2 linked regions of the Drosophila melanogaster genome follow. The protein of the gene in region 2 interacts with the protein of the main gene of each other region in a pairwise test. Each region holds a gene or a part of one and is shown on either strand. Other genes may lie near its edges. The genes, in order: CG16753 and wge.

Region 1 (3,271 bases), on a different chromosome or scaffold from region 2:
TGCCAGCTGGACGAAGAGCTCCATGAACTGGTTCTCGTATGCCCTGTTCCTTCTCACCCGCCAGTCACGATTCCTCGCCGGCAGCGTTCTCCAACTGATGAATGGCCAGGTCACTCCAAGGCTACTCTTCGAGATAATGAACAACAAGAAGTTGAAGCAGGCTCTGATGCAGAAGAAGGCGCGCGTGGAGCTGTTGGACTCGTGGATCCTGCACAAGCTAAGAACTGGCAGCAGTCGCGATAAGGATGTGGAGCACATAACCGATGTGACCTCGAGTACGGCGACGGGTTTGTACGATCCGTTCACGCTCAGCTGGTCGCCGCTTATAAGCTGGCTATTCGGCATCAATGTGAGTTGGCTATATCCTCCATCAGGCTCTATTTGCATTCATTTGCTTCCATTGCAGTCAAAAATCTTGCCGCGTGTGGTGGACAACGGCTACAAGGGCTTTGGGCATGTGCATCCTACTGCCTTCGGTCCGGATTGGGCCAACACAGAGATACCCATTGCTGCCTCTTTAAGTGACCAAACAGCAGCCATTTGGGGCTCGCAGTGTTTCCAGAAGAACGACGTCAAGGTCACAATGGGTACTGGTGCGTTCCTTAATCTGGTAACAGGCGATCGTTGCCAAGCTGTCATCTCTGGCATGTATCCATTGGTGGCCTGGCAGTTCAAGAAACCAACCAGGCAGCAGGGAGCTGTCTACTGCATTGAGGGAGCATCCCATGACTTTGGCACCGTGGTCACTTGGGCGCAATCGTGCGAGCTCTTCGATAGTCCAGCGAACACCTCAGATATTGCACAGTCCGTTCCAGATACGAACGATGTGTTCTTCATGCCGGCCTTCAGTGGCCTGGGGGTATGTTTTTTAAAGCACTTTTGCAACTGGTTCAAGATTACCTAATCCCCATCTTATCTTTGACAGCCCCCGGTGAACGATTATCGGTCAGCAAGTGGCTTTATTGGCCTCACTCCGTCCACCACCAAAGCCCACATGGTGCGGGCTCTGCTCGAGAGCATAGTATTTCGTCTGGTGCAGCTGATCGAGGCCGCTGAGAAGGAGACCTCTCAGAAGCTTCATATGATTAGGTATTTCTGTCTATCCATCTTAACCAATTTTACATTGCACTTATTTTCTTCTATTTTAGGGTTGATGGCGGCGTCTCCCGCAATGACTTCGTCTGCCAATTCCTTGCGGATCTCAGCCGACTGCGGGTGGAGCGGGCGGACAATGCGGAGAGCAGCATCATGGGAGCCACGTTCATGGCGGGCATCAACCTCGGAATCTGGCGCGATGTGAACGATCTCAAACGTTTCCGGAAAGTGGCGCGAGTCTTTGAACCGCGTCCCAAGGAGTACGAAACCATTGCCAACCGGATGGACAAATGGAGCCGGACGATTGCCCGGTTTAGTGACTGGTATTAGGTTAAACTTTTATTCTCTGTCTTTGTTATTTGTTATTCATTAGTCACTTAGAAGGCTAGGTAGTTGGTAAATAAAATGCTGAATTTATATATTACATACGTTTTTATGGGCTGTGGAATATATATATATTTTAAATGACATATTTAAGTGCTAATCTTCGAAGCTGAATAATAAATTTCAAATATATTAACCAACAATCAGCTTGCCGCCGATAACCGATAACGAAGCACTGTTATTGTCATCGCTAACCATACCGGGTGTGGTGACACTGATTTTGGGGCTTAGCACGCTGCACGTTTGTTTTTATTTTGATTTTGTTGGTGCACAAATCGCAGTAGAATGGCAAAAACGAAGAAAAATGTAAGGGCCAAGGCGAAAAGCGTGGTGGGGGCGGCCAAGCAGAAGGCTCAGGACATGAAGGCCAAGCTGCGCGAGGATCGTCTGCTCCACAAGACCCTTACGCCCAAGAAGACGACCACCAAGAAGGAGAAATCCGAGGCGAAACACAAGAAGCTGCTCAAGAGATTCGCCGAAGCGCGTAAGAAACGCAAGGAGGAGCACAAGAATCGCGAGAAGACCAAAGTTGTCGGAGATCTAAAACCACTGCGGGATGCCCTACCCTCGCTGCAGGACATCTACAAGCTGGTGAAGACCAAGCAAAAGGATGTCTCCGAGGGGGCAGCCCTCACAGAACCAGAGGTCCGACTGAGTGCCAACGAGAAGATCCGGAAAAAACGCACTGAAATGGTCAACACCGTCAAGTCCTTCGAAAAGCTCATCAAAGACAAGAACTTCAAGAAGAATCCCCGCGAAGTCATCGCCGCCCATGTGCGCAACAAGTACCAGGCGATGGAAGAGGACGACTACGAATAGAAGCCTCAAATCAGCAGATTAATTATTTTTAGGTATAAACATAAATAATACAAGGATTGTAAAGAAATATACGATGACGCAAGTATGTTAGTCCAAAACTATGAAAAACGTTACTAATTGAGCACTGTAAAATAAACTGTGCATATCTAGAACAATTTATGATCAATGTTTAGAGCTAAAAAATTCAGTTGCCCCCAAGAAGAAAACAGGTGGATTTTGTTTATTAAGAAGTATCTTTATTATATATGCATTAGGTATAGTTATCATTTAACGATGCATATAAATATTACACGTACGAATGTAAGTTGTAAGCATTAAATCGTAAGAGGGTCAACAGAACGAGGATTAGACAAGATTCGAACGTGAGGACTTTTGGGGGGATCTTTGCATTTTACGGCCCGGGCTATGTGATCGTAGTTAGTCTATCGCTACGTTATATCATAGAGCGTTCTATATGCGCCTGCTTAGGGTTCGAATTTCAACTTGGTGTTGTTCTTCTTACAGTGAAAACGGAGCCGTGGACTCGAGGTCCTTGCGTCCGGACAGTTAATCTACGGCTATTTTATGGTTATTATCGGTATTATCGCGTTAGCGTGGGCTGGCTCCTTCCTGTGAGATCATTAAACGCTAGTCAAACACACATCAGTCGTCTTGTCCATCGTATCGTATCCATTTCGCCACCAGCACTAACAGTAGAGTTAACATAGCTATTGAAAGGTGTCTCCATAAAATGGCGCTATCTCATCTCATGTACAAAATGTAGCCGAATCTACACTAAACTTAGGTTACAACCTACCGCGTTACGTCTGCGTGATCTTAAACTTCATTGAAACATGAACGGGATCGGGAACGGGTTGCGGGCTATCGGGAAGCGGTTCTCGGTTAGGCCCAGGCTCGTCGTTACCGCCTCGAAGTATTACATATACATTGATAGAAAATATAAGTCAACTATATCTAGGTTTTGCACATTCAA
Region 2 (5,094 bases):
GCCCGGTTTGTTACCCAGTTCCCCTTTAGTTTCCCATCCCCGGAGAACCACTCATGCATCCGAGCATCCAGCTCGAGCATCCCTTATAGGTGATGCCTTACTTGTTCCTGGTTCCCCCACACACACACACACACACACACACACAGATTCCAGACTACTTCTAGCAACAGCCACCGCTGCTACCTTGTCTGAAGTCTGAAAAAACAACCCACCCGAGCACCATGAGTCCATGAGTAATCTGTCTTTGGATTCCCGCTCTGATGTTCCTCTGAATGGCGCCCACGCAACTGGAACTTTAGCTTCAGCTCCATTGGAGCATGCTAACTAAGCCGAAGCCCTCGATACTCTGCTCATTGCCGAACCATAAGTAATGCGCCTACTTTATAAGGGTTTTTTTCTGCACTCAAAAGCACTAGAACCCGCTAAAAATATGTATTTTCTGAAGTCATTCTAAAAATCTAAAAGGAAAACGTATTTGATGCATGAAAATAAACACCCTCAATCGAGAATGAGCTGTTCTGTCAGAGTTTCTTACTAAAAGAGAACTTCTGGGAAATACCCAGAATAGATATAAAAACAAAATTTCAATCTGTTTTTGCATTGGATTTTTATAGCAGCGTTGAACTTCTAGTTTAATAGATATATAAAAATAAAAACCCCCGCAAAAAGTAGCTTGTGACTTCAATTTTATCAGAGTTGATAATAATAAATGAGTAAATGGAGATTCCAGGTAAAAATAACAAAAAATAAGTGCAACTTTGTAAAGTCAAAGCAATACAAATTATATATTCATTTAGTTAAGTGTAATGATTCATTTCCCTGCCATCATATTGCTCTAACCATTTATAGACGTTATCATTTAAAGAATAACATGAAATTCCATGTAGTGATTAAAACAAAGTACACAGTTTCCTGTACTCTTGCTCTTTGATTAAGGCTATGGCACATCTGGTACTATTTTGTAAATAGATTGATATGAAAAAGTAACCCATCCAAGATCATAAAGTTCATGTTCGTGTCATGGGCATGGTTGATTATTTCACCATTAGCAGACTTTAAAAATAATCCGGAAAATGTAATTCGACTGGCTACGGCGACAAAACACACCCCCAAAAAAATATAAACATATTTATGTGCCCATCTAAAGAGCAATTTCAAGTCGACCAGAGCCAAGGCGACGCAAAGCCTCCCTTCTCAAATCGCAATGTGTTTCACTTTCGTTTCACTTCCGCTTTAGAAGTTCGTATGATTTACCACCGGGTTTCCTTCTGCCCGCAAGGGAGGATGGATATGGGGATGAGCCGTTTTGAGTCGAATCCAGTCGATTCGGTGGCTGTCACAACAACGACAGCCGCACAACAGGCGGCCATCATATGATTCCTGCCCTCTAAACTCCAGCGGGTTGTTTAAGGCGGAGACGACACCCTCGGCCATTGCTCACTGATGGAATTCCGCACAGCGCTGAACGTTTGTTGGCAATCTTATTAGTGGCATAATTGAACGACGTCCACGTCCTGGCATCATAAGCATCATATAACGTTGTCCCTTGGGAAGCGCCGTTCATTAGGGGCGCTCAAATCTGGTGACTCAATTGAATTAGATGCCCAGAAGTTACACGGATGGAAAAAATGTATGGCACAAGACAGTGATTGTCTTAAATTTACATATCATTTAACACAAATGGAAAACAGCATCTAGAAATATCTAATGATTCTTTAAGTAAATCATTTGGTATCTCAAAGATAGCAGATACCTTAAAACAGTTTACATCCCCTTGAATATCACTAAGAACTTATTATTTCCATGAGATGAAGCTGCATTTCTCTCTGTGTAGCTTGGCACTCACCGAGGTCAGCGACGCGTATGCCGAAGCAGTTCAAGTCCTTGTTGAGTGGTGGCTGCAGCGGCAGCGTAGCGGGGGTGTTGATAGCCGGCACCAGAGCTTCTTGCGGGCGTTTCCTGGCCACGGCGATGCCAATGGGAACGGAGTTGCCTGATAGAATCGTAATTAACCGATGAGGAGTGCTCTTGACCAGTGGCTGGGTGTCACCTACCTGTGGACTTTTCCAATTCCGATACCTTTGGCGAGGGAGCCTCTATTTTGACGAGAGTGGTCAGTGTGGAGGAGGACATGGTCTTGGAGGAGGCGGTCATCGAGGCGGAAGACAGGCCCTGATGCTGCACCTGGTGCTGGTGGTGTTGGTGATGTTGCTGCTGTTGCTGGTGGCAATTGTTCGAGCTTATTTCGGACACCTGGCAGGGTTCCCTCTTGATCTGCACAAAAGTGTACGACGAGTTGGTCTGCTGATGGTGATGGTGCTGCAGGGGAGTGGCCGTCGCCGCGGAGAAGCCTCCGAATTGATCCAGCTGCAGATGGGCGGTATGGGCACCAGGATGCGATACTGCCGCAGTGGTGGGCACCAGAAAAGTAGCCGTTGCTGTGGTGGCGCTCAGAACGTCGGCGGCACTGCTGCTGGCGCCAGGATTAAACGTGGCCATCGGGTAGCGGTGGCTGTGCACATATATGTATGGCTACCGCTCCCTGGGATCTCTAGCCTATACCTATTTCACTATATATCTTGCGGATTCGACCAAAAACTAAACGTCCATTATCCGCACACACAAACACACGTGGACACACACGGCACACGGACACACACTAGCACTGGCCCACACACACACGCACACAGTCTACATTTTTACAGGTTTTCGCTGCCTCTTTCGGATGCAACATTGGCTACTGGGCCTGCGGCAATTCCCCATAAACAAATGACATAATCCAAAGCGACGCGACGCCACTGGGCACTATCCACAGGTCGAGGGAACCGAAGCACCCACCAGTCCAAGTGCGGTTGCCCAAAATAAAACCCTGTGCGATCCGAGATCTTTTCTTTTTTTTTGTGTTTTTTTTTTTTGGTGGGGAGGCGGAGGCGCGACTTTCCTGCTGCGTTGTTGCGTTTTTGCGCGGTTCTTCCAAGTGAATATCGAGCACTGGCTGCAGAGCTATTGGCCAACACACGATCTGTTGCTTATTTATGTTTTTCTTTTGCGAATTGGAATCAAAATCCTCTGGAGAAAAGTCCACGGGACGGACAAAAAAAGAAGCAGCGAACTATGTTAAGTTAACAGCGATATAACAGGGACTATTCGATTTTATTGCTGCCTTGTCGATGATTCACCAGCAGGCGTTAGGCATTTTTAGCAGGACTGGTTTGGCCATCGGCATTTCTGCTATCGATAACATCCAGAGCGCGCAATTTAAAATATTATAAAATATTTGAAATATTTTTTTTTTAATAATTATCATCTCACAGATGAATGTCAAATTTTATTTCCCAGCACATAATAACAATTAAAAGTCGCCTAGAAATGCATATGGAATATAAAAGTCAACGAACGCACTAACTAATCCAGCATTTTGCGTATCATATAGTTCAAAATGCCGCCATTCTTGTAGTACGTTATGTCCACCTCGGTGTCGAAACGCAACGTGGTCTCAAAGACATTGCCATCAGCATCGACCTGAATCCTCTGGCCCGGCTTCAGTTCGCCCTCGGGCAGGACAATGTTGTACACCTCCCTGCCACTCAGTTTCAGGGTATCGGCGCTCTGGCCAGGCAAGAACTGCAGCGGAATGATGCCCATGCCCACCAGATTTGAGCGGTGAATGCGCTCGTACGATTCAGCAATCACCGCCTTGATGCCCAGCAGAAATGGCCCCTTGGCGGCCCAATCACGTGAGCTGCCACTGCCGTAGTCCTTGCCTACGACCAGAACCAAAGGTGTTCCTTCGCTCGCATACCGTTCCGCCGCATCGAAGATGTCCATCTCCTCGCCACTGGGCACGTGCAGTGTGCTGGGTCCCGTCTTGGATGCCAGTTTATTGACCAGACGGATGTTGGCAAAGGTTCCGCGTGCCATCACCGCATCATTGCCACGTCTGGATCCATACGAATTAAAGTCGCGCGGCGTTAGACCCCTTTCCGACAAATAGCGCGCTGCCGGTGACTTTCGTGCAATGGATCCGGCTGGCGAGATATGATCGGTGGTCACTGAATCACCGAGAAGCAGCAGACAGCGAGCCTTCTCGATACCTTTAAGTTTGGGCAGCGCACGAGTCATACCCTCGAAGAACGGTGGTAGTTTGATGTATGTTGATATTTCACTCCATGGATACAACTTGCTATCCGACACCTCCAACGTTTGCCAGTCCCTGGATCCCAGTTGAATTTTGCCTGTGATAGCGGACACAGTTAGCCTAGAGCTGCGGAAAAATCTTAGTCAGCTAGCTATACTCACTGTACACCTCCTGGAACATGGCGGGAATGACGTGCTTATGCTCTACCTCCTGAATCTCACTGCGCGTTGGCCAGATATCGCGCAGGAACACCTCCTTGCCGTTGGAATCCACGCCCAGCGGTTCGATCTCGAAATCAATATCCACACGGCCGGCAATCGCGTAGGCAATCACCAGCAGCGGACTGGCCAGATAATTGGCCCTAGTATTGGGATGGATGCGACCCTCGAAATTGCGATTGCCCGACAGGACGCCACAGCAAACCAGTCCGTTCTTCTCGATGGTGTTCACTACGTTCTCATCGAGCGGGCCCGAGTTGCCAATGCAGGTCATACAGCCATAGCCCACAATGTCGAAGCCCAGCTGCTCCAGATAGGGAATCACACCGGATTCCCTCAGATAGTAGGTAACCACGCCAGATCCTGGTGACAATGAGGTCTTGATATACGGCAAAATACTCAAGCCCTTCTGCACGGCATTCTTGGCCAGCAGACCAGCGCCCAACATCACCGAGGGATTCGAAGTGTTCGTGCACGAGGTGATGGCGGCAATCACAACAGATCCATGACCTATCTTATAGCTCTTCCCATCGTCCCATTGGAATTCACCACTTGCAGCCAATGCACTCGGTGGTATGGCGAATCCCTTGAAGCCGACAGGACTTATGAGGCACGACTTGAAGTCTTCGCACATGCTGGAAACTGAAACGCGATCGTGCGGTCGCTTGGGCCCCGAAACCGAGGTCACCACGGTGGATAAGTCCAAAGTTACAGACTGCAGGGTAAAAAAGTGATTCG

Evidence for each region.
Region 1: the proteins of wge (region 2) and CG16753 interact in a two-hybrid assay, tested with the Drosophila melanogaster proteins (one large-scale study listed by BioGRID).

Annotation. Positions count from the first base shown.
Region 1 is NT_037436.4:3,053,392-3,056,662, forward strand, and holds CG16753 (uncharacterized protein), read left to right. Parts: upstream 1-1,687; 5' UTR 1,688-1,764; coding exon 1,765-2,298; 3' UTR 2,299-2,451; downstream 2,452-3,271. Other genes in the region: CG1271 (uncharacterized protein), read left to right, coding at 1-349, 407-859, 926-1,089, 1,149-1,425.
Region 2 is NT_033777.3:22,718,025-22,723,118, forward strand, and holds the start of wge (winged eye), read right to left. Parts: upstream 3,127-5,094; 5' UTR 2,500-3,126; coding exon 2,055-2,499; intron 1,994-2,054; coding exon 1,847-1,993; intron 1-1,846. Other genes in the region: Irp-1A (iron regulatory protein 1A), read right to left, coding at 3,406-4,235, 4,300-5,071.